Alligator mississippiensis: one gene and its partners. The protein of the gene in region 2 interacts with the protein of the main gene of each other region in a biochemical or structural test. Links are inferred from orthologs where the notes say so. Each region holds a gene or a part of one and is shown on either strand. Other genes may lie near its edges.

Evidence for each region.
Region 1: the proteins of GTF2E1 (region 2) and ERCC3 form a complex in vitro, tested with the Homo sapiens proteins (2 studies listed by BioGRID). The link is inferred for Alligator mississippiensis from reciprocal best matches to the Homo sapiens genes GTF2E1 and ERCC3.
Region 3: the proteins of GTF2E1 (region 2) and TAF6 form a complex in vitro, tested with the Homo sapiens proteins (2 studies listed by BioGRID). The link is inferred for Alligator mississippiensis from reciprocal best matches to the Homo sapiens genes GTF2E1 and TAF6.
Region 4: the proteins of GTF2E1 (region 2) and GTF2F2 form a complex in vitro, tested with the Homo sapiens proteins (2 studies listed by BioGRID). The link is inferred for Alligator mississippiensis from reciprocal best matches to the Homo sapiens genes GTF2E1 and GTF2F2.

The regions. Positions count from the first base shown.
Region 1 is NC_081827.1:252,041,155-252,048,700, forward strand, and holds the start of ERCC3 (general transcription and DNA repair factor IIH helicase subunit XPB), read right to left. Parts: upstream 3,010-7,546; 5' UTR 2,949-3,009; coding exon 2,930-2,948; intron 2,681-2,929; coding exon 2,409-2,680; intron 1,960-2,408; coding exon 1,723-1,959; intron 1-1,722. Other genes in the region: uncharacterized protein LOC132250420, read right to left, coding at 6,218-6,443. UniProt on the Homo sapiens protein: ATP-dependent 3'-5' DNA helicase/translocase. Binds dsDNA rather than ssDNA, unzipping it in a translocase rather than classical helicase activity. Component of the general transcription and DNA repair factor IIH (TFIIH) core complex.
Region 2 is NC_081824.1:253,467,894-253,474,961, reverse strand, and holds the start of GTF2E1 (general transcription factor IIE subunit 1), read right to left. Parts: upstream 3,013-7,068; 5' UTR 2,895-3,012; intron 1-2,894. Other genes in the region: RABL3 (rab-like protein 3), read left to right, coding at 3,212-3,257, 6,437-6,528.
Region 3 is NC_081838.1:23,522,698-23,530,195, reverse strand, and holds the start of TAF6 (transcription initiation factor TFIID subunit 6), read right to left. Parts: upstream 3,006-7,498; coding exon 2,772-3,005; intron 2,522-2,771; coding exon 2,348-2,521; intron 2,242-2,347; coding exon 2,155-2,241; intron 2,062-2,154; coding exon 1,908-2,061; intron 1,830-1,907; coding exon 1,773-1,829; intron 1,418-1,772; coding exon 1,298-1,417; intron 1,224-1,297; coding exon 1,081-1,223; intron 1,004-1,080; coding exon 926-1,003; intron 1-925. Other genes in the region: MBLAC1 (metallo-beta-lactamase domain-containing protein 1), read left to right, coding at 5,791-6,015. UniProt on the Homo sapiens protein: The TFIID basal transcription factor complex plays a major role in the initiation of RNA polymerase II (Pol II)-dependent transcription.
Region 4 is NC_081824.1:410,989,518-410,997,303, reverse strand, and holds the start of GTF2F2 (general transcription factor IIF subunit 2), read right to left. Parts: upstream 3,013-7,786; 5' UTR 2,876-3,012; coding exon 2,810-2,875; intron 1-2,809. UniProt on the Homo sapiens protein: TFIIF is a general transcription initiation factor that binds to RNA polymerase II and helps to recruit it to the initiation complex in collaboration with TFIIB.

The DNA of each region.
Region 1 (7,546 bases), on a different chromosome or scaffold from region 2:
CATGCTCCAGCTGACTAGCAAAGACAAGAGCTCTCCAAGGGGTTTTGCATCCCACTCTGGGTTAAATTCTAACTTACTTAATTGCAAAAAGCAGGTGCTTTGGGAAATCTGAGAAAGCCTTCACACCCCCAATTTAGGAAGAGCAGGGAACTCGGGTGTCCCAGGCTCTAGCAGTCAGGATCCTAGATCAGCAGTCCCAGCTTCCTGCGTGTCTAGCATCTGTGGCAGCCTGTTCAATTAGCAGCTCGTCCATAAACCACAACACCACTCCCATGATGTCCTCCAGGAACTTCTGCCCTAAAGCCAGCACCCAGAGAGGCTGTGTCCTTGGCTGATAACAGGTCTGATCATGCCTGCTCTAATTAAAAACAATCCTTGCAGGACCAGCAGGCGGGTGCTGCTGCCCTATTCACAAAGCAGAAGGTAATGCAAACACCTCCATTAAAGCTATTGAGTAGATGCTGCCCACAGAGACTAGATGCTCTAATGATGAACAAGTGAAAAGGTGACTATGTATTGAGATCTGTCAAATACGTTGGCCTCAACATGTAAATCATTAGTTGGGCAATTTTTTGCACGCATCAGATAACACATGGGGCTTGAAAAAGACGTCAGCTCACATAGAAAGGACATTCTCAATGTAGGAGCAGCAGAGATCAAGGCACAAAGATCACTTCAGTACCATATAGTTCACAGAAAAGGAGAAAAAGGAATCATGAAAGAGTCACTGAAGTCCAGTTCTGGCTTTGGTCTGCGATAATCTACAAATGTTAAGTTCCCACTGAAGGAAAAAAGGCCTCTCTCCCCCAGAGGACTATCTCCAGCAAATCAATTATAGCATTATCGTGTCATAATATCAGAATTTAACTGCATCCTGCTTCATTAATGCAAACCTAAGACTGATAATAAGGTTAACTGAACAACCATTATTTCTGCCACTTATTCCTGCTTATTGTAAAGCTTTTTTATATTAATGTTCCTAATTCCCGATTGACTATTTTCTACTGCTTTTTTGGTCTACATGCATCTTACCTTACGATATTGCTGCCGATTAAAAAATATTTTTCAAAACGCACAAAGAGCGTGCACCAGAGACGTGTCGATGCACCCGCTGAAACCTGCGCTTTGGCATGACTTTGTACTGATTTTAACAGTACAGTCTTACCGCTGCTCTTCAATCGCACTGAGCACTCAAACAGAAGTCATTTATTGGTTCGGCTTTGTCATTTAACGACTCGAGATGTCATTTAATAGTTCAGCTTTGTCATTTAATGACTCGAGATGTCATTTAATAGTTCAGCTTTGTGGTTTCTGCCAGGGTGAAGGGTTATTGCCCACAGCAAGGATGATTCCACGCCGTGGGCCAGACGGTTATACTGACCTTGGTTAAGTTATTCATATGAGCAGTGGCTACAGGATCTGACCTTTTTACTTCATAGATTTCAGACTTCATAGACATTAAGGCTGGAAGGGACCTCGGAAGATCATCGAGTCCAGCCCCCCACCCAAGGGGCAGGAAGTCAGCTGGGGTCATAGGATCCCAGCAAGATACTTGCCATTTTATGCCTCACGGTGTGCACGTGTGTGTGTGTGTGTGTGTGTGTGTGTACACATGCATTCTTGTGTCAGAGACTGCATCAAACCTACTTTAAAAAAGGTAATACCTGTATTTACACAGCAGCGAATAATAGATAGAAAAGGGGAAACGAGTCGTGGCCTTACCTTGATAAACTGCACTATTCCATCGGGGACGCCGGTCTTGCTCAGCTTCTGCAAATACTCCGTGATGTCGCTCGTCTGCAGACCGACACTGACAGCGGCATAAAGCGAGTACGCAGTCAGCTTGTACTCGTGTATGTGGCTTGGTCGACACACGGGTTCTGCGATAGCGACCAAAAAGTCCTGCGCGTATTTGTAAACGGGAGAAAAGGCTTCAAGGAAAATGTGGCCGTCGGGAGCCTGAGAGAGAAGACGAAAAAGATGCCAACTGGATAATGCTGCGGGTGAAAGACGGAGATCCCTTTCTATCCCGAGTACGAGCGGTTCGCGGTGCAACGGCAAGCGCTGCTCCATAGCTAGCAGCAAGGGCGGGCGAGGGTCAGACCAGCCGCGAAGAGCGCTCCACGCGGACGGACGCAAACCAAGGTTAAAAGCGAGACCACGTTCATCTTACCCGCTGACCGGTTCCACGTAACGCACCTCCCTTTGTAGAGAGCCTGTCGAACAGGACGGCTCTCCCCAACGCAGGGAATCAAGCGACTGCTTTTACGAACCCCAAATCATTCGCTCTCGACCCTCGCCTGGGAAGGAAAGCGCAGCCCCTCCCAGCGCGCCGCGCGACCTCCGTCAGCCCCTCGTTCAGGATGACCCAAACCACCCCCCGGTTTAAAAGCCGTTCGTAGAGTTACCCCGGACACGACACCGCGCCCCGCCGCCACAAAACAGGAGGAGGAAGCCGGCTGCCCGGCGGCGCTCACCACCCAGAGCGGGCGCGAGCCGTGGTCGCCCTTGAGCAGCATCTGCAGCCGGTAATCCTTCGCGCCGTACTCGTCTTTGACCACGGCCTCTTCCACCTGCTTCCCCGCCGCCGACGGGACGGCTTCCTGCGACTCCTTGCCGGGAGCGTCATCGTCCTCATCGTCCTCGTCGTCGTAGTGACGCTTCTTGGACTTCTTCCTGTCTGCAAGCAAAGGCCAGGAGGGTCAGGAGAGGCGCGGCAGGAGACACAGGGGTGTGCGTGCGCGCGCGCGCACGCAGACACAGACACAGCGCGACGGCACCCGCACGCGCCTCGCACCTCCGTCTCATTCAGACATGGGCACGTGCGCGTGCACTCTCACACACACGCAGGCACGCGCTTGTTCACACGCACACCCTTTCACACACATTGTCTTTGACGCGCGCACGCTGTCATTACACACTCACGCACCGCGCTCCCTGCGGCCCATGTCCGCCGCCCCTCAGCGCCCCGCCGCCATCGCGCCCCGCTCCTCCGGCGCGTCACTTCCGGGAGCCCCGGAAGGCGGAAGCGGCGCGCACCGCGCCTGCGCCGAAGGCGGCCCCGCCCCGCCCCGCCCCGTTCCCAGCGGCTGACGTCTCCTCGCTGGAATTACCGCATTCTTGCACGCGACGCGCACGTGGAAACGGGAGTGCGCGCTCTGTGCAAGAAATACGATACGAGCTGTTTCTGCGCCTGGGAGGGGGTCCCGTCCAATCAGGAGAGCTGCGGGGGGGGCTGGCCGGCACCGGTGAGGTTTCAGCAGGCACTTGAGCAGCGCAGAAATGGAAAACCCCCCGTCCCACATCCTTGCAGACCCTGCTGCGACGCCCTGCGCCGTGGGTGCAGCCGGGACCTGGCACCTCCAGTTGACAAACCCCCCAACGCATCAGGGATGCTGGTTTGCAAACAGCTCGTTGCGCGAAGGGAAGGGGGTCACGCCTGCCGCGAGTCTGGCTTCGTCCCGCCAGAAGAGCGTTGCTTCCTGCCTCGCGAACGGGGCGCGCCTGTGTTGTACACATGCAAACACAGCCCCCGCCGCGCTGACTTCACGGGTGACAGCTCAGAAAAGGCTCCCGCGTCCTGCGCAGCCCCTTTCCGCTCCCCTCCTTGGGACGGCGGCGCGGCGCGGCGCGGCCCAGGACAAGACGTGGTGAAAAATTGGTTTTCTTGAAAAACCGTCACCCAATAAAGGAAGGGGAGTCTACTGGAAAGAAGTATTGTTTTACGAACGCTCGGAGTGCCGTTATCCGTCGTCGTTCGGCGGTTTGTTCAGTCGCATCCCCCAAACCACAGCCCCGGGACCTTTCTGAAATGAATGGAGGTGGAAGGAAGAAAAAGCCATCTTCCCTCGTGCTAATTCCTGCAGGTCTCCACGCGCCGTCAGCCGCGACGAGGCTGCGCCCCCACAACACACGGATCTCAGATAGTCACTGGTCAAACAAAATGGAAACGTGGCTTCCTTGACATGAGGTACAAAACCTCCCAAACAAAATAAAATGGGTAAATACATAGGAATTAAAAAAACAAAAAAAAGTTTATACATTTTTACAAGCACAAATTTGAGATCATAACCAAGTCAAAATGTGCATGAAATGTGGAAGAAACCACATCGTACCAGGCAATTCAGAGCCCCTTTCTCTGATGGATTCAGCACTTTTTATTACAAAAATTCATACAAAAGAAATCACAGTTGTCCATCCAAGGGGTACCTGAAAATACAATACAACAACGTGTGTCCACTCTTGGAAATACAAATACATTCTGAATGGTTAAAAACAAAATTAAAAAAATAGTTTCTGATCATCAGCCAGCTGAAAATATACTTATCTAGTAAATTATCTTTCAAAGCTTTTATGTATTTAATACAGGCTGGGGAGTTCCCCTCTTGAAAGCACAGAGGGATCTCGGAGTCATTACTGACTCCAAGATGAACATGAGCCGCCAATGCCAGACCGCAGCCAGCAAGGCCAGCCAGACCTTGTCATGCATCCAAAGGTGCATCTCAAGCCGGTCCAGAGAGGTGATGCTCCCCCTCTATGCGACACTGGTCAGGCCGCAGCTGAGTACTGCGTCCAGTTCTGGGCGCCGCACTTCAGGAGGGATGTGGACAGCATGGAGAGGGTTCAGAGGAGGCCACCTGCATGATCAGGGGCAGCAGGACAGGCCCTACGAGGAGAGATGGAGGGACCTGGACCTGTTCAGCCTCCACAAGAGGAAGCTAAGGGGGGACCTGGTGGCTGCCTACAAACTCATCAGGGGGATCAACAGCAAATAGGCAGAGCCCTTTTCTCCCCAGCACCACCTGGGGTGACGAGGAACAGTGGTCACAAGCTGATGGAGGATAGGTTTAGGTTGGAGAGCAGAAAGCAATATTTTACAGTTAGGGTGGCCAAAATCTGGAACCAACTTCCCAGGGAAGTGGTCCTCGCCCCTACCTTGGGCAAATTCAAGAGGAGGTTGGACGATCACCTGTCTGGGGTCTTGTGAACCCAGCGTTCATTCCTGCCTGTGGCAGGGGGTCAGGCTAGGTGATCTGGTCAGGTCCCTCCTGACCCTAGCTACTATGAAACTATAATTATACCAGCTAAACATAGTATCTTAAAAAACAAGTTCATAAATACTTTTCCAACTACTGGTCTAACAAAAGATCCACTGGCTGTGGAGCGTGTAGATGACGGCAGGCTGCCGCTGCCGGCTGAGACCAATATCAGCACTTGAGTCTGTTTGGTGCATCCTGCGCCGAGTGCCAGGAAGGGCCGAGTACCGGTGCTGGCCTCAGCCAGCAGCAGCAGCCTGCCGTCATCCTGCACACAGATCCAGAGACCCGCGTCCCTCCAGAAAGATGCGGGGGCTGTCAGACTCTTGCGGGGGGGAAGGCGAGACCCCGAATCCGCGTGCGGGATGACAGCAGGCTGCCACTGCCAACAACTGATACTAGTTTTGATTTGAACAGTTTGAGGTGCAGTTTCACAAAAAAACCCTGCACCTACCTCCCTTCATGCCCTCAGAAGGGGCTAGCATCCCTGCGATTTTCATCTGAATCAGACAAGAAATGACAAGGTTACAGGCATGTTCGTGATTCCCCATTATAGCCTATGGCCAAAACACCCTTGAAACTCCACAACTGATTCAGCTGAGCCGAAACGAGACAGTGATCCAAAACACCGAAATGAATCACTGTCCCTCCGAAACGCCAAAATCAAAACGAAACATAACCCTTTCACACAGGCCTGGTGGGGATCTGTAATACGACCACATCAGTACACGGTAGAAATAAAACGGTTCTGGTCCTGGTAGGGGGGAAAAGATCCTTCTTCTAAATGCAGGCGGTCCTTGGACTTAGGACAAAATTGGTTCCTGAAAACCACGTTTTAAGTCGAAACATTGCAACTCAGAACCAATTTTCTCACAAGAAACAATGTTATAAATGGGGGATTGGTTCCTGAACCCAGGCCTGATGCCCTATCTTACCCAAAAATACCCCAGAATTATGTACTCAATCAATTATAGATGAGTAATATAGCTACATTAAATGTACTTATATTGTAAATAGCAATCGTATTGATCTGGAAGGACTTCTTTGAGGTGACTTTGCTGGACTTTTTGAAGGGCTCTTGCCTGGAGTCTTCTCAGAAGTCTTGGCAGCAGGTTTTTCTACTCTTGTCTGCTTTCTTAGAAAATAAATGCAGTAGATGCAAGCTGGGCTGAGGCAGGCTGTCAGTGATAATGTGCAAATGTGTGCCTTAGCAGTTCATCTGCAGATGGTCGCAGCTTGGCCTCAATAAAAATCCACTTCAGGAAATCCTGAGCGTGGTGCGAGACGTCATGTGGCAGCTGTGGGTTTGTTGGCTCGGTGCCAATTTTAAATATGGCAGCCATTGCTTCAAACTCTGCCCACGGGGGTTTCTCAGTGAGCATTTCTACCACGGTACAACCTACGCTCCTGAAACAGAAGCAAATGTGAAACAGCAGGTTACAACAGGCTCCGACTTTTCTGCAGCAGTAAGAATTACCACGTGGCAACTACTGCAGACCGCTGTCCACTTCCCGCTGCACTGCGATTCCAACGGAAGTACACCGATCCCCCGTTCTTGTGCACAAGCGCACACAACACATAGAAGATCACAGCAGATATTCTGCTCCACCTGCCAACTAACTCAACAACCATCATCTCAGCAGAGGGTGTTGATCTAGACAGCAGGCTGCCGTCTTACTTTCCAGTAAGGGGTAGAGACGGAATTAAATCTGAATTTCAGGGGCAGTTTCAGCGTCTAGTGTCAGTGCCACTAGCTCAGACTCAGAGTTTGGCTAGGTGGTAGGAGCACTACGCAGCCCAAGAACTCTGCCTCTGAAGACCTGCTGAACACCCTGGGGTGGGACCAAAAGAATTGAATGTCATGGTTCTTGACCCAGAGAAGACTAGTTAGGACATATACATCAGATTGGTTTGTCTGAATTGAAAGTGTCCTTGCTGCTTTGTTTCTTTTAACAGTATATTATTTAACACTACAGCATTCAACGTGCCAATGCTTACTGCAGTGTATTAAAAAGCTCTTTAACGCTGAACATTATATATGCAAAACACATTCCAGTAGGCAGTGACCCTCCCCGCTTAGCTAAGGGCAAAGGACTTCTGTGGCGACGAGGTCATTATCAGAGATTGCAAGAAAGGGTAGACCTTCAAAATCAACTGCTTAATTTTACGCAAAGGCTGATTTCTAAACTCTGTAGTACAGGAGAGCTATCTGTATATGCAAGGCAACTCTTTTCTACAAGCCCCGGAAGCTAACTCTTTGTTATAAGTATCTGAATAACAATGCAAAATGGAGGAGTTTGAGTTAAGAAATCGTACTTCACTGCGTATTCCGTATCCCCTGGGGAGGAATAGGGTTTATATAATCATTTCACACGTTAGCATTTTTGAGTATCAGCAAACCATAGAGAAATCTACTTGCTACTAGGTCAGTGTTATTTAAAAAAATAGTAAGGATCAAAATGCATCAAACTGCTCTGGATGCTGCAACTACTTAGAAAAAAAAAAGCTTA
Region 2 (7,068 bases):
AGGGCGGCCGGGGGTGGGGGGAGGAATGGAACAGGAGAGGACGGGACGGGACACTGTGGCTTGGAAGTGAGAGCATAGGGTAGGGTGGCTTTTGGGTTGGCTGTGGGGCACTGGCAGCACCAAAGGGTCACGGGTTGAGTGTGAAGAGCACTGGCATGACCAGGAGGGTGGGGGAGGGAATTGTGGGTCAGCAGCAAGGTTGGGGGCTGTAGGTCAGGATTGAGGGGTACTGGCAGGGCCAGGGGGCAGTGGATGGGGAGTGAGGTGTCCCCCTGACAGGTGTCCTCTTTTTTGGAACTGGACATATGGTAACCCAGGGGTCAGCAACCCCTGGCACTTATGCCAAGCATGGCACACCACAGCCAGCCCCAGCTCCGGCCCAGGCTGCTCCCAGCAGGGCTGCAGCATCCCAGCTGCCTGCTGCGAGCAGCCCAGTCTCCCGACTGGCAGCAGCTCCCCACAGCCGTGCCGGGCTCTGGCATCAGCTTTGCACTGGCGCGTGCACCCACGCGTCGGAGTGGGCGGTGGGAGGGGCCTGAGGCAGTGCAGCCCCAGTCTCTCCCCCACTCTCGGCACGGAGCTTGACACAGCTGTTTGTAGCCAGCCCAGGCTCTGGGCGGCTGCAGCAAGCAGGCTGCAAACAGCTACGCCAGGCTCTACAGCTCTGGCATCAGCTCTGTGCTGGTGGTGACTACACATGCACCTCAGGGCAGACAGCGGGGCAGTGCAGCCCACCCCGAGATCTGCATGCAGTCACTGCCAGCACGGAGCTAATGCCGGAGCTGTAGAGCACGGCGCAGCTGTTTGCAGCCTGCCTGCTGCTTGCTGCAGCTGCCCAGAGCCCAGGCTGGCTACAAACAGTTGCGCAGAGCTCTGGAACCCTGCTATTACCTCTGTGCCGGGAGCGGGAGACCAGGGCTGAGCTGCCTCAGGCTCCTCCCCCATCGCCCACTCTGACATGCAGGTGCAAGTGCTGGTGTGGAGCTGATGCCAAAGCCTGGCACAAGCTGTTTGGAGCCTCCCGGGTCTGGGGAGCTGCTGTCAGTCAGGAGCCCAGGCTGCTCCCAGCAGACATCTGGGACACTGCAAGCCCTGCTGGGAGCAGCCCGGGCTCCAGCAGCTACCCAGAGCCAGGGTAGCTGCTGGCAGCCACAGAGCCCAGGCTGGGGGGCAAGGGGCAGCAGGGCTGGGGGGGCAGGGGCTTTGGGTGAGGGGGGCAAGGGGCACAACCAGGGCATCCTGCCATGTACCCCTTACCCTCATTTTGTTTTTCTGCCATGCCAGCACGCCGGCACCTTCCGAGGTAGGCATTGTGGTGTTTTTCAGTACTCCGGCCAAAAAACATTGCCTACCCCTGTGACAACCCTAGCCCTGCTTTGAGCAGGGAGTTGGACTAGATGACCTCCTGAGGTCCCTTCCAACCCCTATTTCCTATGATGCTACAAGTAGTACGTAAGAAGGCAGATGTTGAGGGATATTTTCAAGGGAACCTGGACACGCAAGGCAGAGATGCACACTCACTGCTGACAAAGCCAAGCCAAGCCAAGCCACAACTAGCCAAGAGATCCTTATGCAGCAATTACAGACATTTGACCCTAAATGGTCTACATCTCCTCCACACAAACGCACAGGGATGGAAGGCCAGAGCTTGCCTCAGACCACCAAGAGGGATCCCAAGAGGCCTCAGACCTTGACAACCCAGGAGCAAGCATGCCTGTGTATTCTCTGCTGTAGGTAACTGCTCTTGATTGTTTAGGTTAGATCAGTGTTTCTCGACCTGTGGGTGACGATCCAAAAGTGGGCTGCAAGAATATATGAAAGGGTTGCAAACAAACTTTAAAAACGGATCAACAAACTTTTAAAACGGAGACAAATGTAGGAAACGCTGGGTTTTCCCTTGCAGGCTGTCAGATATCCAGCCTGCGAGGAGCTGCTTGGGGCCCCCCATTGCCCTACACACTGGGGAGCTTGGGCCTGGGGGCACTGGGTCAGGACTGGCCATCAATGTTTACAAATGGGTGCTGGTACAAAAAAGGTTGAAAACCGCTGGGTTAGATATTAGGCAGACAACAGAACAAGGAGCAATGGTCTCAAGTTGCAGCAAGGGAAGTTCAGGTTAGCTATTAGGAAGAATTTTCTCAGTAGGACGGTGGCAAAGCGCTGGAACAGGTTCCCCATAGAGGTGGTAGAAGCTCCATCCTTAGAAGTTTTTAAGACCCAGCTCGACAAAGCCTTGGCTGGGATGATCTAGTTAGGGCTGGTCCTGCTTTGAGCAGGACTTTGGACTAGATGACCTACTGAAGTCCCTTCCAGCCCACATGGTTTAACTATGACCTACTGTCTATGACCAGAAGGACAATATCCCCATGCACCCGCAGCCAGTGCAGGAGGACTGCCCTTGGCTCCTCTCGCGCCCCCTGCTGCATAAGATAAAAGCCTCCAGGATTGCCCTAGCTGCAAGGCTGGACCTGAGGCTCCTTCCCGGTTTCTGTGCAGGGAGCAGCAGCACCCCAGGGCAACGGTGGCCCAGACGAGCAGTGCTGGCACAGAGCAGAGTGCGTGGGGGCGGGGGCCAGGCAGATGCCCAACTACTCCGCGCCGCCTCGGCCCCTCTCCCCACAGCTGCCAACGGACACGCTCCCCTCCGCCCCCCACTGGCTCCTCAGCTGCCCCCCTCGAGCGGCTGGGGAGACGGGCCCGAGGGACACCACCCCGCGCCCACGTGGGCGGTCCGTGCGGCCCGCCGGGGAGGCCCATGCGCCAGGCACGTGATGCCGGACCCGGACCTCGACCCCGCCGCTGCCCGGCGGGAGGGGCAAGCTCCGGGTGCGCCTGCGCAGTAGCTGGCAGGAGGCCGGGAGCGGAGAGCCTGGCGCCGCGCGCGCGGGACTGACCTGCCGGCTCCGGGTGGTGCTTGGCGCCCCCCGTCTCCGGCAATGCACGTCACAAATTCCTAGCCGCGCACGCGGGCGGTGTCGCACGGCTGTGACGCAAGCGCCTATTCGGCACGCCAACGGTAGAGGGAGAGGTCCGCCCACCCGCCATCCTGGGTGGACAGGAGGAGGGAACCAATCGCTATCTGTGATAGCCACCTTTGATCCCGCCCCCTCCCCGCCTCGGCGAATGGAAAGCGGAAGAGGCGGAGCCAATGGGTGGAGAGTTAGCTCGCAATTGGGCGGCGTGCTGAGTGGCTGTTGCTAGGCAGGCTAAGATGGCTGCTTTGGACAGGGTCAAGGTGCTGGTGCTGGGGGATTCCGGTGAGTAGTTGGGGGGGGAGTTCCCGTTATCACCCTAGGCCTGCGCAGGTACCGGACCCTTCTCCCCCGCGCCGGGCATTGGTGGCGGGGGAGGGGGGCGCAGTGACGCACACGGTGACGTGAGCAGGGGGCGGAGCTGGTGTAGAACCCATAGCTGCGATTCACGCTCGGGGCGTAGATGCGGGGGCGGGGCGCTGGGCGAGGGGCGCTCTAGGTGGCTCTGGGCCTCTTTGTGGACCTCCCCCCCGGGGGGGGGGGGGGGCGGGCTCTAGTTAGCTCAGCCTCGTTCGGGAACCCATCCCCCATGCTCTGGAGGACTGGGCCTATGCAAGACTGACGAAGTCTGTGGGCCATAGGTTGCCGACCTCTCCTTTGGGGCACCAGGGAGTGAAGTCATTTTCCTGCGGCCTGAGAAGCATGGCATGACAAGCACGTGGACATGTTCTTCTAAACCCAGGCCACTGTCAAACTCCTGGAGAGCCCAGCAACAGCCAGGCCTGCTCCACACGTGCAACAGAAACGGCACTTCTGTGAGTGCTCTGAGCAATGACCAGAGATGAACAATGACCCCACGTGCATATTTAGGGCTGTGTGTGTGTTTGTACACTCACCTGTTTGTCACAAGAACTCCCATTGGAGCCACATCCCCGTTGAGGGCTTCCAGTGACCAGCGATACAAGTTTTGAGAGGACTTTTTGTTGGTTAAGTCATGCACTAAAATGATACCTAAATGGAGAGTTAAAAAAGACAGGATATAACTTGACATTTCCCTAACCTTTGTATTTGATCCAGAAGCTCTGGTATTAAGAGACAGTTTGGTATGAAACATTAGGAGAAGGGATCTGTTGTGTACTTCTTTAAGGAGCTTAAATGCTAGAAATGATAGCATTTCTACTTAAACATGATCCAAAGCAGGAGCGTAGTAGAATCTAGTTTTCGCCCTCTTCTGTCTTGCAGTTTAAAACAACCTCTGTGTATTCCTTTTTTTCCCAAAATTGAGCGAGACCTGAATGCTGTCATTTTCCTGGGAGGCCTTGAGCCTGGGAAGGTTGAGGGCCATGGCTTTAGATACTTCAGGGGTAACCTGTCACCATCTCCTCCTCTCAGCAAAACAGCTCCTTGAAGGGGCTTGCCCTCATCTTGCCACTCTTCTCTCGTTTAGTCCTTGCCAGCCCACTTACTTCTTTAGTTGTCTTGCATGGTCCTTGCAATTCAGCTGTGCTTTTCTTCCTGTGTAGTGCCCCAAACTAGATGCAGCAGTCATAACGGTGGATAAGCCATGTTTCAACTTAATAAGACATACAACCTAAATGGTGGAGGACGCAAGTAGCAGAGAGCGATGGGAAAACCCCTAGTCACACCTTGTTCACTCTCCCTTTCAGCCTCCCCTCTGCCTATGTGACAAAGGTCTATTTGCTGCCTTAGAAGATACATGGGGCATTTCCCACCAAATAAACTATTAGCCTCCCTTAAACGTAGAGTCTACTGGAAAGGCAGCACCTAATTGCTTGGGACAACTAAAGACAACAGGAATGAGAGTGGTCAAAGGTTAATAACTAGTGTGGCAAGGGGGGACACTGAGCAGAGCATACCGGACAATACCCATTGGCCCTCAGACAAGTCCAAGGAGCCAGTGGGCACTGCCTAGTGATATTCTGCCTGGAGATGGGATTGCACTAGGGACAGGAAAGTCACTCTGCCATCCCTGCTGTGTAACAAGCTTACTTGTTGCCTAGGGAACATGGGGCAGTACCCTCAAAGAAACACTGTAAGCGTCCCTTAGAGAGGAAGGCCAGTAGGTAGGCAACAACTGTTTTTTGGGGACAACTAAAGACATAACAGGGATAGGAGTGAGATCAAAGGTTTAAAGCTAGTGTGCCAAAGAGGGACACCCAGCAGAGCACACCAGACAGTGCCCACTGGCCTTCAAACAAGTCCAAGGCTCCAGTGGACAGTACCCAGCGATACTCTGCCTGGAGATGAGATTGGACCAGGGACAGGAAAGAGGCTCTGCAGTCCTTGCTGTGTAACACAGGATACTGGGCAAGATAGATGTATGGGCTGACCAGTAAATGATAGTTCTTATGTTCTGTAAATGATGGGCCTCATACAACCCTTCCAACTAAAGTCAGCATGCTGTTAGCTCTTTTTGTATTTCTCACATACCCATCATCAGTACCTTCTTTAAGGCAATTGCATGCTGGAACATTCATTTAAATGTTGGGTTTAATAGTATCGCTTGAACCCACTAATTATTGTAGTGCCATTTTTTGGTATGTTAGTAACGGCATACCAAAAAGTTAGGGGTGCATCGATAGAGATTTCTGGGTCCGATACCAATATCCAATTTTTAAGGAGGCATATCAGCCAATACCAATTAGATTTCCTATACGGTGTAGAGAGTTGCCTCCGGCTGGTAAGTCTGTTGTGGTGGAAGGGGAGCAGGGGAGGGAAGGGGCGTGGGGGGTGCAGATCAATGCCCATGGTGAGGGAGGGGGCAGGGGCAGCCTCTGCCCAGCTGGGACAGGGCATGGGGCAGAGCCATGGCTTGTTGGGGGGGTGCTCCCACTGCTGTGTGCACCCTGGGAGGGCACGGAGGGGTGGAGCCTGTGCCCCCTGGGTCTGCATGGGGCAGGGCAGATGGACTGCACCTGCGGGCAGGAGTTGAGGCTGTTCTGGGCTCTTCTCACCGAGGGCTGGGCTTGGGTTGGGAGCTATGGAGGGGGCTACAGCCACCCCAAATTTCGCTTTAGCCCCCTCCCAGTGCCACCGCACACCTGGTGCAGCCCCGGCCCTTCCCAGCACATGGGTGGAGGCTGGGCATTGAGCCAGGGCTGTGCCAGGTGTGTGGTGGTGGCAGAACACCCGCCCCCCCCCCCCCCCCCCAATGCCCCTTCCACCACAAGAAACTTACCAGCTGGAGGCAGCTCTCCATGCTGCTGCGCTGTGCTCCTTGTTGCCTGAGTGCTGCGCTGCAGCTACACACACACATTGGCATTTATCGACCAAATTATCAGCTGCATCGGGCCGATTTCCGATACAGCCAATTTTCTTTATATCGGTACCAATCCGATATCGGACCAATATATCTGTGCACCCCTACAAAAAATATGGTGTTAATGGCAAATGTAAGGATCTGTGTTGTCTATCATGCAAATTAAATATATGTTTGCTTTCAGGTGTTGGGAAATCTTCACTTGTTCATCTGTTGTGCCAAAATCAGGTGTTGGGAAATCCATCTTGGACTGTGGGCTGCTCAGTGGATGTGCGAGTAAGTGAACTTCTGGACTTGCAGTGTTGTTCCTGTTGTTATTTCTGATGTTGTGGTCACTGCTTTCTGGGTCACAAGTTTAAATCTGATTCAGAACTAGTTTGGGCCTTCACTTTTCAGATGTCTATAATTAAGTTTTGAGTGGTCTTTTGAATGATATTTTTAAATACCAAAGTCTTGGGTATTTTTCATGAATATTAAATGACCACTGGTGTTTTCTTAAAGAATAGCTTAATTTAGCTAACATCCTTAGGTAAAATTTCCTCTTCTTTCATTTATCTGTGATGAGCTGACAGACCCTCTCCACCCCAAAGTCAGGTTCATTTCATTGCTGTTAAACTTTAGAATCCTTTGGGGGAAAAGTGCTAAGAAAAAAATATTATTACTCTAGACTGAATATTTTTACTTACACAAATTAAGCTTTACAATGTCACCAGCTACAGAAGCCAAGATACATCTGTCTTTCAAAGCATCACAGCACAGTGACAGTTAATATATACTCACTAGGATATTATCCTTATTACTTTTTGGTAAGTGGTC
Region 3 (7,498 bases), on a different chromosome or scaffold from region 2:
GTTTCAGGCTGGTAATAACAAGCACCTTAAATGCAATTATCTCTGGGGTGGGGTGTTGTGGGCTGAATATACCAAGAACCCCCAAAGGCAGTTGGCTCTGAAGAGGAGCATAAGGGGCTGCATATAACAGGGACCTGACATGCAGCCATCTATGGGGTGAAGCATTAACAGCCCAGTATAACCAGCAGCTGAGATTCAGCCACCTGTGCAGTGGGGGTTCTGGGGCCTGGGTATAACAGGAACCTCCAAAGGCAGCGGTTTTGGGCTGGGGAGCATCAGGGGTAGCCAAGTATAAGAGAGTGCTGAGATGCAGGTGGCTCTGGAGTGGGTGGGGGGGTGCTGCAGAATGGATAACAGGGACAGCCAAAGACAGCTGTCTCCGAGGCAGACACTGGGTAAACCAATCCCCACTGTGGCTGGCTCTGGGGTGCAACATTAACAACCAAGTATAACAAGCAGCTGAAATACAGCCACCTCTGGGGTAAAGCAGCGACAGCCAAGTATAACAGAGAGCTGAGATGCAGCAGGCTCTGCAGTACAGGTGTTGCAGGGTATAACAGGGCCCCCCCCCAAAGGCAGCTGGCTCTGGGGGCAGCATCAGGGGCTGTGTAGAACAGAAACCTGAAATGCAAACAACCATGTCTGGGGTGAAACAATGACAACCCAGTATAACAGAAAGCCGAGATGCAGCTGGCTGGGGTGCAACATTAACAGCCAAATATAACAAACAACTGAAAGACAGCCACCTCTGGGGTGAGATGTTGACAGCACAGTATAACAGAGAGCTGACATGAAGCCACCTCTGGGCTGGGGCGTTACAGACTGGATATAACAGACCACCCCAAAGGCAGCCGGCTCTGGGGTGGATGCTGGGCTGACCCATGCCCAATGCACCCAGCTTTGGGGTGAAACAGCCCACACTCACCCCCTCGGAGATGAAGGTGCTGAAGCGTGGCAGCATCTGGTAGAGCCCAGGGTCTGTGGCGATGCTCTGCAGGGCCTCCTGGGGGAGCACAGTCAGGCTGGGGGTGGTCCTGGGCCCCGGGGACGGGGTCCAGGGATCCAGGGGGGAGCACTCACAGCACGCTTAGCCTCGCAGGAACCCACGCAGGCCTCTGTGATCTCCTTGTAGTAAAGCTGCTGCTCCACTGAGAGCTCGTGGATGCTGCGCGGCTTCAGGCGCAGTGCCGCGCCCTCCAGCAACCCTCCCTTCTTCTCTTTGCCTGGGGAGCAGGGGGCAGGGTCAGCCAGGCCTTGCCCATGCTGTGCCTCCCGTTCCCGGGTCCCTCGCACTGACCCTTGGCGTCGGGGGCGGCTGCGCTCTGGCCCTTGCCCTTCAGGGCCCCATCGTCGTCCTGCCCCGGCTTTGCGGCCTTCAGGGGCTCTGTGGCCTCGGTCTTCTGCTGTTCCTTGGGGGCTGTGGGGGAAGGGGGATTGGAAATCGGTGTGAGGCTGGCTCTGGGGTGGGATGTTGCCTGGGAGTAACAAATGCAGCTGGCTCTGGGATGAAACATTCTCTGGGTGTAATGGGTGCGGCTGGCTCTGGGGTGGGCACCAGGCTGGGTAGAATGAGGCCTGGATGCAGCCAACTCTGCGGTGGGCAGAATGGGGCCTGATGCAGCTGGCTCTGAGGCGGGATGTTGACTGAATAGAACAGGGCCTGTTAACCCCTTGTTAGCCACATCTGTGCATCTAGGTCAGTACAAGGCAGGTGGGGAGGGTATTGAGAAGTGGAAGGGGGGTTCTCCCAGATGCCTGGGTCCTTGACTCACCGGGGGGTGGGTTCTCAGGGATGGCCGGCTGGACGCCCTCGATGCTGAGCCAATGAGCTGCGGAGAGATGGACAAATGGATAGGGTCAGAGGAGCTCTAGGTCGGGGGGGCCAGGGGTTGGGGGCCAGGGCTCACCCTTGAGGCACACGTCCAGGGGCACGCGGGGCAGCGGTGTGTTGATGATGTCACTGAGCTCAACCTCGCGCTCGTCATAGAAGTAGAGCTCGCGCCCACCTCCACTGGCGAAGCGGAAAGGCAGGAACTCTTGTGCCTGGAACCCATACAGCGGCTGCAAGGCAGGGGCAGGGGTTGGGGGTCAGCTGGGGGCACCGAGCACCGCCCCCAGGGCACCCCCGTCAGCCCTGAGGCTGTCCCCCGGCACCTCCACGTTCTTGAGCTTGAGTGCATAGTCGATGTCGCTGGTTGTCAGCTTGCGGCGCCGCCCCATGTGCATGAACTTCACGGCGTCCTGGGGAGGTGCAGACAGGGGGGGTTAGGCACTCACAGGGCTGGAGGCAGCTGGCTCTGGGGTGTGGGGTGAGGTGTAAGGGGTGGGGGGGGGGAAGCAAAGGTACCTGTGCAATCTCCTTGAGACGGTAGCTGACCTCGTCAGCCAGCAGCTGTGCAGCCTCCTCAGGCACCTGCGCCAGCCCCATGGACTCGGCCACCACCTTCATGGAGTCACCAGGCAGCAGCGTCTGGCTCAGCTTTGGCTTCTTCTCCTCCGCCATCCTGCCGGGGGGGGGCACCTGGGGGGCACAGGGCCATGTTGGGGGGGTGCAGGGACCCCCAGAGCTGCCCTTGCCCGGGGGTTCCCCCACCCCTCGGGGATCCCCATCCTAGGGTGCCCCCCCCAGGTCCCCCCCACCCCACAGGAACCCCCTCCCACGTCACTCTCCTCCCTCCATAGGAACCCCCCCACATGATCCCACCCCCAGGGACTCCCCTCCCTCTATGGAAACCCCCCACGTCACCACCCTCCCCCCATGTGACCCTCACCCCCAGGAGCTGCCCCCCCACGCACAGGGCGCCCCCAAGCTCACGCGGGCGCCTCGCGCCCCGCCGCCGTCCTAGCCCCGCCCCCAGCGACTCGCCGCTCACTACCACCCTGCCAGGACTTGCAGCCACACTGCGCACGCACAAAGCAACTGTAGGAACCAAAACCTCACTACGCATGCGCCATCCTACCAGTTGAAGCCTCATCACTATCGCTGCGCATGCGTAATGCTCCATTTGTCACTCTCTACCCTACGTTCCTTGCCCGCAGTTCTCCGCATGCACTCTGCTTCACCCTTCTGTGGCTGAGAGTGCGCATGCTCGATGCCAGCTCCCTCTTAAAGGGGCCGCATTTTCCAGAGTTGCCATGGGGGCGCTGGGGCTCCCTCTGTTGGCGCTGTTGTTCGGGGCACGGGCGGGGGCGCCCACCCTGTGTGAAGGTAAAGAGGCGGGGCACTTAAAGGTGCCATATGCGGCTATAGGGACCAGGCAGCGGCTATAAGGGGCGGGGGACATATGCCAGGCTGTGGCAGCAGAGCAGGGGCCTCCACTGCATGCACAGGGAGGGGAGCTGCTGTGGTCCATACAGGTCTATAGGGCCTGGTAGGCGGGGCTGGGCAGTGTCACAGGCCACTGGGTCTGATACGAAAGTATGGACCTGGACTGGAGGGGAGGCCCCATAGGGTGCTAAAGGCAGTCCATATGGGGCTATACAGACCTGGGCAGGAGGAGAGGCCCCATAGGGCATTACAGATGGTCCATACGCCCTCTATGGCCTGGGCAGAGGGGGCAGAGCTGGAGGGCAGGCCCCGCGGGGTGGATGCCGGCCGGGCAGGGGTGCTGGCGAGGGTTCTGACCGCTGCCTTTCGCAGACTGCAAGTATCTGAGCCTGGAGCTGGAGGCAGTGCTGGCCAGCAGCGCCCGCTCTGCAGAGGTGCTGGACTCGGGTCGGTGTCCGCTACAGCGTCTTGCGAGTGCCATCGGGACGCCGGGGCTCCTCAGGGGTGAGCGCAACGGGAGCGCGGGCACCTGGGTTCCCTCCTGGCTCAGGGACAGGGGCCTTGGTGGGGGGAGGGGCAGGACCCTGAAAAGTTCCAGTGGGGTTCCCCCCCCCCTTCTAGGTCTGCCTCTCCCCAGCTCCTTGCCCCCTTTTTCTTTCTCCTGCCCCAGGAAGACGCATCTGGCCGAGGCGCTGGAGAGTGTCTGTGAGTGGCTGCTGCAATACAGCATCCACACCGAGTGCCCTGGGAGCCTGCGCTACGCTAAGGTCAGCCGGTTTCCCCCTTCTGCGAGGGCAGCGGGGCCTGGGTTCCCTCCCTGGCGCCTCAGACCTTCCCAACCCCTTCCCCAGGGCCAGAGCCAGAGCCAGACCATGAGCACCCTGCGCAACCTGGTGCACAAGGGGGTGAAGGTGGACCGGGGCGTCCCCCCCAGAGCTGTGGGATGAGCCCTCGGTGGAGGTCACTCAGCTGAAGCAGCAGGTCAGGCCTAGTGGGGGGCTGTGGGTTGGCAGTGGGGGCCCTGGCAGGGCTGGTGGGGCAGGGGCTGTGGGCCAGGAGTGGAGGCCCAGGGAGGGGGGCTCTTACAGCTTCTGTGAGCCCCCCCTGCAGTGCGAGGTGATGCTGGAGTGCTATGAGGAGCCGCTGGAGGACTGGTACTTCCAACACCAGAAGCGGCTGCTGAGGAAGTTCCTCTGCGAGGGCCATGTGCCGGGGGCCAGGGACGTGGGTAAACAACCCCCTGCCCTGCCGGACCCGCAGCCCCTGCCTGCCCTAGTGCTGGTGCTGGCTATGCCCCAGACTCAGCTGCATTGTGGGGGCTTGCCCCCGGCCTTCCTGCCTGTAGCCTGCTTGGACGAGGTCTGGACCAGGAGCAAAGGGGACCACGGGAACCAGGAGGAGGAGGAAGACACAGATGCCGCCCGCAGCATGACCCCAGCGAGCTCTGAGCAAGTGGGAGGAGGTTGTGCACTATTGGGGAGGGGGGGGGGCGGGGGCTATCTGCCCCCGCCCAGGTGCAGCACCAGCCCCTCCCCACGTGGAGGGAGCGAGTGGCACCACATTAAAGCCCATGTGTTTTAACCCCTTCGTGGCTGTGTTAGGGATGTCTAGGGTTGGGGGCAACAGGGCATTTCCAGGCCACACCCTAGCGGCGAGAGACAGCTCAGACCTCTTCTCCCAAATCCCCTCCCTCTTCCTTTAAGGAAAACGCAGGTCAGCCCCGCGAAAACCCCTGGGAAGCTTTTTATCCCTCGCCGCCGCCCGTTCATTGGCTGCTTCCAAAATGGCAGCCCCCACTACGTGAAGGCCGCCATTTCCAAGATGGCAGCACCCAGTGCGGGGTATAGAGGAGGCGCGCCTATAGGTCACTTCCGAGGAGGATGAGTGCCCCCCCCCCCGGACCGTACCTCTGGTGTGCGGGCTCCGCTGCTGGGCGAGACCATCGTGGCGGTAATTGTAGGGGGGGAGGGACAGACCATTAAAGGGACCCGTTAAGGGATGGAGGACCCCCGGGGTATTGGGTGAAACCATTCAGTGACGGGCGGGGGGGGTAAAGGAGTGAGACCATTGAAGCGGGGGAGCGGGGCAGGACTGTTCGGGGACACCCTAGGGGCGGTCCGGACCATGTAGGGGCTGCTTTGGGCGCCGGCAAGCTCACCCCTGCCCCCCCCCCCCATGGCACTCTTTGATCTCCAACCTAAGCAAGCTACATGACCCTTGAACTCTAATCTCCTGTGCTGTTACAGTCGCATACAGACACCTACGACCCTGTCACCTTGGACCTCCAGCGGCCTTGTCCCTTGAGCCCCTTCTACTCAAGCCTACTGGACGACAGCCCAGCTGTGACCTCTGCAGGCCTTGCCCCCATGAATCCACCTCGGGATCCTCTCTGATCTGCTGAGCCGGGAACCCTGACCTCCAGCTTCTGGAGGGGTCTCATCCATCTGCAGCCTTTGACCTCTGGGGCCTGCACCCTTGACTCCCCCACGCCTCCACCCTCCTTCCGTGACCCGCAGCCCCCCATGACCGACCCCGGGGCTGCACCCTCAGTGCGCACGGCGCTGCTGGGCACACGGCGGATCATGGGCAGCCCTTACACGGTGGTGGTGCTGCAGGAGGGCTACCACCAGCCCACGCCGGATGGTGGTGCGCGGGCTGACGGGACAGTGACGCTGCTGCGGGGACCGCTCCCCATGTTGGTGGACACAGGGGGCCCGTGGGGTCGCGAGCGGCTCCTGGCAGCGCTGGTGGGTGAGGGTCTGGCACCAGCTGACATCAAGCACGTGGTCTGCACCCATGGCCACTCAGACCATGCTGGCAACCTCAACCTCTTCCCTGCGGCCGAGCTGCTCGTGGGCTTCGACCGCAGCGCGCCAGGCGCTGACCAGTACCTGCCTGTGGGGCTGGTGGAGGGTCGGCCGCATGCCCTGGACCCTGGGCACGTGGAAGTGGTGGCCACACCGGGCCACGTGGCCGCCCACACCAGTGTGGTGGTGCGGGGCACAATGCTGGGCACTGTGGTGGTGGCTGGGGACCTGTTCGAGCGGCATGGGGATGAGGATTCCTGGCAAGGGCTGAGCGAGGACCCAGCGCGGCAGGAGCACAGCCGCCAGTGGGTGCTCGGCTTCGCCGATGTGGTGGTACCTGGACATGGTGCCCCCTTCCGTGTACTGCGGGGGGATGGGGGGGGTGCCAAAGAGCCTGGGGGGGCAGAGGGGTGATGGCAGAAGGACCCAGGCATCTGGGCCCCCAGCCCCTCTGCTCTCACCCCCCAGGTGTCTGAGCGGCAAATAAACACCATAGAATTGAGCTGTTCTGCCTCTCTTGGGGGGGGGGGGGGGGAGGGCTGCGGTGCAGCACTGAGGTGGGGGAGGGCTGTGGTCGGCAGCAGGGTCTCTGTGAGGGTACTGAGGGGAGGGGGTGGGTGGCGATGGGAGGGTCCCTCCCAGGCTGGGAATGGAGGAGCCAGAGTGGGGAGAGAACCCAGGCATCCGGGGCTGCTTCGGTGCCAAAAGGGCTGGGGGCCTCCAGGACTCCTGAGGGGGTTGGGGTTGACCTAGGGACACAGACACAAGCATGATAGTGAGGGCTAGGCCACACGCATGTGTCCTGGACCTGTGGGGCCCACATGTGTGTCTGTGCCACCAGGTTGGGGCATGTCCTGGACGCCTGCGTTCTGCATGTGCAGATAGCACCCCCCCACCCCCTGGGCCTGGGGGCAGGGTTCAAGGGGCTGCTCCACCCTGTAACCAGGACCTGAGCAGACCCAGATGCCTGGGTTCCACAGGAAACCCCTGGTCCCTGCCCCAATCGATCGAGCCAAGGCCTTGATGGCAGGTCACAGCTCAAGGCCACAGCACCTGGAGCTCCTAGACCCCGGACTCCTGGGTTCTCTGGGGTGGGAGGGGCTGAGGAGTGAGAGCAGGGGGCTGGAGACCTGGATGCCTGGGCTCTCTGGGAGCAGCTGGTGGGGGGGGTGCCCAGGCCCCAGCCCCTGGGTTGTCTGTGGGTGCCTCCTCCCTACCTGTTCCCCCTGGTCCACAAGTTGAACCCAGGGCTGTAGGGCAAAGGTGGCATTTATGGGGCCTTAGCCCTGAGAACAGAAAAGCTTGTTAAATAATCAGTGTCATAACTTGTGTTGTCTACCCCCCTTGCACCCCCCGCCAATCAGGAACCCAGGTATGTGGGGTCCCAGCCCCTGCCCCCCCAGGTATCTAGGCCCCTCTACTC
Region 4 (7,786 bases), about 160 Mb from region 2:
TATTATCCAGGTGTACATCTGCGAGAGGCAAGCAGGGGAGTGTATGCTTAGGGGCAACCAACATGGGTTCATTAGAGGCAGGTCCTGTCAGACCAACCTGGTGGCCTTCTATGACCAGGTCACAAAATCCTTGGATGCAGGTGTCATGGTGGACGTAGTATTTCTGGACTTTAGGAAGGCGTTCGACACTGTCTCTCACCCCATTCTTGTTAAAAAATTAGGAGATTGTGATGTTGATGCCTACACAGTCAAATGGGTCACCAATTGGCTGGAAGGCCGCACCCAGAGAGTGGTGGTGGATAGGTCATTTTCGACATGGAGGGATGTGGGCAATGGGGTACCCCGGGGCTCAGTCCTTGGGCCCGCACTGTTCAACATCTTCATCAGCAACTTGGACAAGGGGGTGAAAAGCACCTTGTTCAAATTTGCAGATGACACTAAGATGTGGGAAGAAGAGGGCACGCTAGAAGGGAGGGACAGGCTGCAACTGGATCTGAACAGGTTGCAGAGGTGGGCAGATCGGAATAAGATGTCAGTATTGAATCCCAAGTGCAGGGTACTGCACCTAGGGAGAAAGAACCAACAGCATACCTACATGCTGGGGAATTCCCTTCTTGTCAGCACAGAGGCAGAGAAGGATCTTGAAGTCACTATAGACTCCAAGATGAACATGGGTTGCCAATGTAGGGATGCAGTCAGGAAGCCTAACTGCGCCTTGTCATGCATCCACAGATATATCACGACCAGGTCCAAGGAGGTGATCCTCCTCCTCTATATGACATTGGTCAGGCCACAGTTGGAGTACTGCGTTAAGTTCTGGGCGCCGCACTTCAGGAGGGATATGGACAGCATCAAGAGGGTCCAGAGGAAGGCCACTCACATGATCGGGGTGCAGCAGGGCAGGCCCTATGAGGAGAGGCTACGAGACCTGAACCTGTTCAGCCTCCACAAGAGAAGGCTGAGAGGAGATCTGGTGGCCATCTATAAACTGGCCAAGGGAGACCAGCAGGCAATGGGAGAGTCCCTGTTCCCCTGAGCATTACTGGGAGTAACAAGGAATAACAGCCATAAGTTGACAGAGAGTAGATTCAGGCTAGATATCAGGAGGCACAACTTCACAGTCAGGACAGCTACAATGTGGAACCAACTTCCAATGGAAGTGGTGCTTGCTTCTAACCTGGGGGTCTTTAAAAGGAGGCTAGACACCTTGCTGGGGTCATTTGACTCCAGGATCCTTTCCCGCCCATAGCAGGGGGTCAGACTTGATGATCTGCTCAGGTCCCTTCCAGACCTACCAACTATGAAAGCATTGTCTTATTTCCAGAGACTCTTTTAGCTTAGTGTGACAGGTGTTTGCCAAAACATCATTAGATACCATCTAACTTTGTGATTCTTATGTGGGGGAAATTAGTTACAGAAGTCTTCCCTCCGAGTTTCATATACAGTTCAAACACTAAGCACACCTAAGACAAAGCCAGGTGCTCACTGCTACAGTTCCTCGATTTTAGCAAATGCTAGCTCTGTAATTCACATCCAATTCAGCAATAGTAGAAAATGTAACAGGACTTGTGTGTTTTGACCATCATGCCACCTTCTAGCCAGGTGGTTCTCAGCCTTTTTTGTAGCAGGACTCATTTTTAAACACATATCAATGGCCAGTCCCAGCCCAGGGCCCCTCACTATCGGCCCACTACCTCTGTCTCCAGGTCCCAGCCCCACAGTGTGTGGAGCAGGAGGTGATATTTGAGGAAATTGCCAGCCTGCAACAGAAAAGCCACCATTTGCCATGTTTTTCTCCTTTAAAGAAGTATCTATTTTTAAAGTGTGCCCATGACCCTTTCATATATTATTGAGATCCACTTCTGAGTCGCAACCCATGGGTTGAGAAACGCTGTTCTAGCCTGTGTAAAACAGCACTGGTAAAAATGACGAGCTCCCTAAGGTTGACTTGCCTAAAAAAAGTTTTAAGATTACAAGGCTGCAGCACATCTACCATAGCTCAGCACCATCAAAGCGGGTGGTGGGGGTGCAACACAAAGGACACAGGCAGATCAGGGGAGGGGGCAGGGGGTGCCAGGCAGCGCACTGAAAGCCAAGTGGCTGATCAGCAGGGATCCTCGTTTTCTCCGATTTAAAACAAATCCCCAATTTTTGGAATTAAAAATGTAACACAAAAAAATCCACATTTTTTCATAATTAAAATGAAGCATCACTTATATCCATATATCTATATGGATCTCTCTCTCTCTCTCTGGATATTTCTATACCTTTATTTATATGCACACACAAACATAGTGATGGTTCATGCTAATCAGGGAAAAAAGTGGATTTTGGGTTACTTTAAATCCAAAAAATGGGGATTGTTTTTTCAATCAGAGAAAACCAGGATCCAGACAGGAGGACACAGGGCAAGGCAGAGTAGCCGAAAACTGAGTGTCTGATCGCGGGGAGGGGGAGGGGGGGAACGAGACGGGACTGGGGGACCGCCAGGGCAGAACAGCCGAAAGTCGAGCAACAGATCAGGGAAGGGGAACACGAGGCAGGGACAGAGCAGCGGATCGGGCGGGGGACGCAGGGCAGGACAAAGCAGCCGAAAGCCGAGCGGTCGATGGGTCAGCGGGAGGCACGGATTGGGCCAAAGAAGACCAGGCAAAAGCCCAGCGGAGAAAGCCGAGCAGCCGATCGGGAAAAGGGGAGGGAAGGGGGAGCAGGCAGGGCAGCCGAAAGTCGAGCGGCTGATGGGGCAGGGGCAGGGACAGGGACCGGAACCGGGATCGCAGTGGCCCTGAGAGCCCCCGCTGGTTCTCACCTTGACCAGCCACATGCCCGTGTTCTGCTTGGCCCCGGTCAGGTCCAGCTCCCCCTTGTCGCTCATGGCGGCGGCGACTGGGGGGGGCAGGGGACGCGCGGGACAAACTCGAGACGCCGCCGCCGCTGCTGCGCACGCGCGCGAGGGCTGCTGTCTGCAACCCCGGAAGGAACTTCACCGGACTACGGCGGCCCGCGCCGGCCAAACTTTCCGTGCCTGCAGCAAAGTGGAGCGGGGAGGGGTGGGGGAAGGAGTCTCCCGGGGATTCCCCGGCCGTGACTGCAGGGGGGCGCCGTGACGTAAGACGGGGCGGGGCCAGGGGACTTGTGCGTCCTGATGCCCCGCCCCCAGCCCCCACCCAGAAGCCGCACAGGGGATGAGGGCGGCCTTTGCTCTGCTCCGCTAGAATGGGCTGCCCTTTCCCTGTGAGCCACTGTTCCGCACGGCGATGGGCTCTGGTGTTGGGACAAGGACACAGGCAGACAAGTTTTTCCTAATATCCAACCTAAACCTCCCTTGCTGCAATTTAAGACCATTGCCCCTCGTTCTGTCACCTGTCACGAGTGAGAACAGTCAACCCCTGAGTCATGACCTCGAAGTGGGTCGCAAGAATATATGAAGGCTGTGAACAAACTTTAAAAATGGATTGTCTTTGAAAGGAGAAAAGCCTGGGAAGCAGGGTTTCCCCTTGCAGGCTGGCAGAGCTCCAGCCTGCAAGGGACTGCTTGGGGCCCCCCTTCCCCACACACTGGGGGGGCTGGGGTTGGGGGGGGGCAGTGGGTTGGGAGTGAGGGGCACAGGGTCAGGACTGGCCATCAATGTTTACAAATAGGTCCTGGTACAAAAAAAGGTTGAGAACCATTGATCTAAGGCAGGGGTTTTCAGTGGTTTTGATCAGTGTAGCCCTGGTGGCTGGACATCAAGCAGTGTACTAGGCCTATGCAAAGAAAGCGGCTAGTATTTGCTTCGGATTTGGATTCGGCCAATTTGGGGGACAGTGATTCGATTTGGTAATTCAAATCGCTGCCCTGAATCTATTCGGCCGAATCTCTAAATCAGCCAGGCCCATCCGCCGCCCACTCTCCCAGCCCAGCAATGGCTGCTCCACCTGCCCCAGCTCCTGGCACTTGAAACAAAAAAGCCCCAACTCAGTGGGTGCTGTTGGGCAGGGGGGTGATCCCCACTGCACCCCGTGCCACGTGGGGGGCTCTTCCACAAGCCCTCCAAAGCCCAGAGGCCGTTGTAGGAGCGGAGAGTCCCAGGACTTTTCTCATTTTTTTTTCTTAATGGGCTGGAGCTGTGCCTGGTGGGGTGTCCATGGCGGGGCTGGGGGAGCGGGGAGGGTTGGGGGGGGGCTCATGGCACGGCCCCCCATACAGAGTGGGGCAGTGGGGGGCAGCGGGGATTGCCCCTTTGCCCGGCAGCACCCCGTGAGCACTAGGGCTTTTCTTTAAAGGGCCAGGAGCTGGGGCAGGCAGGGAAGCCATGGGGGGGCTGGGGGAGCAGGCAGGGGTCAGGAGGGCTGGGGGAGCAGGCTGGGGATGGGGGATTCAGTTTGGATTTGGAGATTTGGCTGCTGAATCGAGCCGAATCTCCTCCGAATTGAATCAGCGCCCGAAGCTTCGCACAGCCCCACAGTGTACCCTGGCGGCTGGGTGTGGAGATGGGTGGGGTGTGGAGGTGTGAGGCTGGACAAGGGGTGGGGCGGGGGGGGTGGCACACAGCTGGACAGGAAGCAGGGGGGTGGGGGTGGCGCACGGCCGGACACAGAGCGGCAGTAGCCGTCACATGCGAGCTTCCTCTGTCCCCCATGTGTCGCCAGGCAAGTGGTGCCTGCAAGGCAGTGCAGGATGGTGCATGGCAGTGCTCCATCTCCGCATGCCCATGTATACCCCCTAGGGCCATCTCAGGTACCCCTGGGGGTATGCATATCCCTGGTTGACAACCCTGATCTAGGGGATAGTCTAGTCTAGTCTGCTCTGGCCTGAACTCCTGGATGCCTAACCGGCTTCATGCCCTTGCTCTCTTCCTGGCTTCCCCAATACCAGACCCAAGTCTGGCCTGACCTCCCAGGCATCTGACCCAGCTAGCTTCCTGTCCTTGTGCTCTGCCTGACTCTCTGGATCCCCAGCTCCGTTCCCTGGACAGATCTAGTTTCTGGCTTTTCCTGAGCCTGAGGTGACCCTCAGACCTGGCTGCCCATTGCCTGGCATGACAGCGACTTCACACTCCAGATCCAGCCACAGAGTGACCCCCATGCACCGATACACTGGGCCCCGCTATCTGGACCACAGGACTCCCCTACAGCTCCAGGAATGGAGACAGGGAAGCAGCGATTAATGCTGCCACCACACTCTCCCTGCCAAATTTCTGGAACCATTAAGAGACCCACAGGTCAGAGCAGGGCATCCAAAATCCAAGTGACAGATCAGGCAGGGGGCCACAGGGCAGCCAGGCCTAACAACGTATCTGTGGGCCTTATCTGGCCAGAGGTTGAGCACCAGGGAGTTAGGAGAAGTACGAGATAAACTCTAAGGCACAAAATGCCTATGATTTGAGGAAGGGCATATTGTGCCCAAAAGCATACATACCATCTCTCCCAACTATACAGTTGGCACAATCAAGGCTATTACAGAACAAATCCTGGTTCTCTCATACTGTCTGGAACTTGGGCTGGAACTAGTGCACCACCGTAACATTATCACTGCATGTGTCTACACAATCTGGCCAAGTGACTAGAATGAAGCTTGCACTGCCCTTTCAGTTTTAGCCCCAAATTTAGATTCGATTACTAGAAGTTTTCACTGGAACATGAGAGAGATGTTTCCCTGAATTAAGACAAAATGTGACAAGTGTATTTACCAAAGAAATAGTCCCTGCAGAGTATGGTGCCCAAACATTACAATTCTGCAAGTGACTTCAAGTATTTATTCACCTGAAAACTGGAACTAATTTGTATTTTACTATTTGACTTATTCTGGTCTAAACCTTTGTGTGGATGCTTCTGTATAAAGCCAATGAGAATCAAGGGTGTTCAGCACTCAAACAGAGCTCTGTATCGTGCAGGATTGGCCCGATAGACTCCTCCATTTTAAAGGAGAGAACAGAACATCAGGGACTGTGATACAACAAGCAATTTATAACTAGTAAGGTGTTTGTAAGAGGAGCTTGTACCTTGCAAGATTGGAGCCCAATATGATTTTCCAAGACTACATAAATGAATGAATGGTGGAGCCGGTTCTCCTTACTTACAGTTTTAGCTCAGTCCATATACTCAAACCAAGCCTGTCCCTACCTAAAAAATAAAAAAGGGGATGGATATATTTTTTTCAACACACATAAAATTTTAGATAACCTTGTGCCATTAATTCTAATAAATGTTGCTTACACCAGGGGTCAGGAACGTTGGCAGCAGGGGGACATCTTAACCAAACTTAACTCCAAGCTTGAGCGGCTTCTGACTCAGTCCACACAACCATAGCTACAGTCCCATTCCCCATGTGGTGGTGGTGCTGCTGCTGCTGCTTCTCCACACCACCCTGGCAAAGACCCTCACCATCAAAATGACACCAAAGCTGCCCAGCCCTATGGGCTAAATAAATTTCTCCATGCGCCAGATTTGGCCCGCAGGCCATACACCATAAAACTACTAATTAGAAAAGAGGAATATAAATCTGAATCACTGAAATACACTTGTAGCCAACATAATTGTCCAACCTGAGACTTGTCCAGCAAGAAATCATGACTCTTAGTCAGAGTTAAAAAAAAAAAAGGAAAACATTTAAAAATCTAGTAATTTCACTGGCTCAGCTGGTACTTGAGAGCTAAAAGAGACAAGGCAGACTTTTTTTCCTCTTAGTGACTTGCTACAGGCAGCCTTTCCAGTCCTGTTTCCATGGAAACTAAATTAAAAGGGGCAACAAGGTAAGAAGAATTGTCATTAATTCCTAATTTAAACTCCTAACGTTCTGTTTTCCATTCCAATATTCAGTTCCATGGAGGAAGAATCTCAGAGGCCAGTAGCTGAGAGCTGAAGCTGAATGTTAGTTTCTATTTTTTATCTTGTTGTGTGAAAACTGTTGTTAAGTCAAGAGAAATAAACTACAAGGTTTTAAATTACAGACTCTTTTACTGAACTTTTTTTATTCACTCAGCTGAGTGCAATCATGATTGCACTGTAGTAAGCAGCTGAGAAGGGCTTTCCTTTGTCAATTATAGGTGCGAGCTATTGGCTGAAGAATAACAGCACTGTCATCTAGACATTTAAGGCCTGGTGTTGTCCTAGTGAAGTCAGTCGGAGGTTTGCCCTTGATTACAACTGCTTCATGCTTCCCTAGAGCCACGGACATCAATGCTGATAAGTGCAAAGTGATGCACCTGGGGAAAAATAACCTGAGATGCACATACAGGATGAGGGGCTCTATATTAGCTGTTAATACTTAGGAAAGAGATCTTGGAATTACTGTGGATAGTTCTCTGAAAACAGCCCAGTCAAAAAGGCAAGCAGAAGAATGTTGGGAATTATTAAGGAACGGATCCAAAACAAACCAAAAAATGTCACTGTAGAAATCTCTGGTATGCCCACATTCGTGAATACTGCATGCTATTCTGGTACCCCTGCCTCCAAAAGGATATCCTAGAAGTAGAAAGGTACATACAGAAAAGGACAGGAAGGATGATCAGTAGCTTAGAGAAGCTTCTGCATAAGGAGAGACTAAAGAGAGACTAAACAGGCAAGACAGAGAAAAGATGACTGAGCGGGTGGTGATAAAGGTCTATAAAACCATGAACAGCATGGAGAAAGTAAATAGGAACTTACTATTTATTGTCTTTCACAATACTAGAACTTGGGGGGCACACAATGAAATTTTAATTTCCTAACAATGGCCTCAAAGCTCCTTGCCCCTACAGAAGCAAGCCTTACATTTCCTAGGATTCCTTTTTCCTAATCCTTCAGGGTTCAGCTGAAAGATGGTT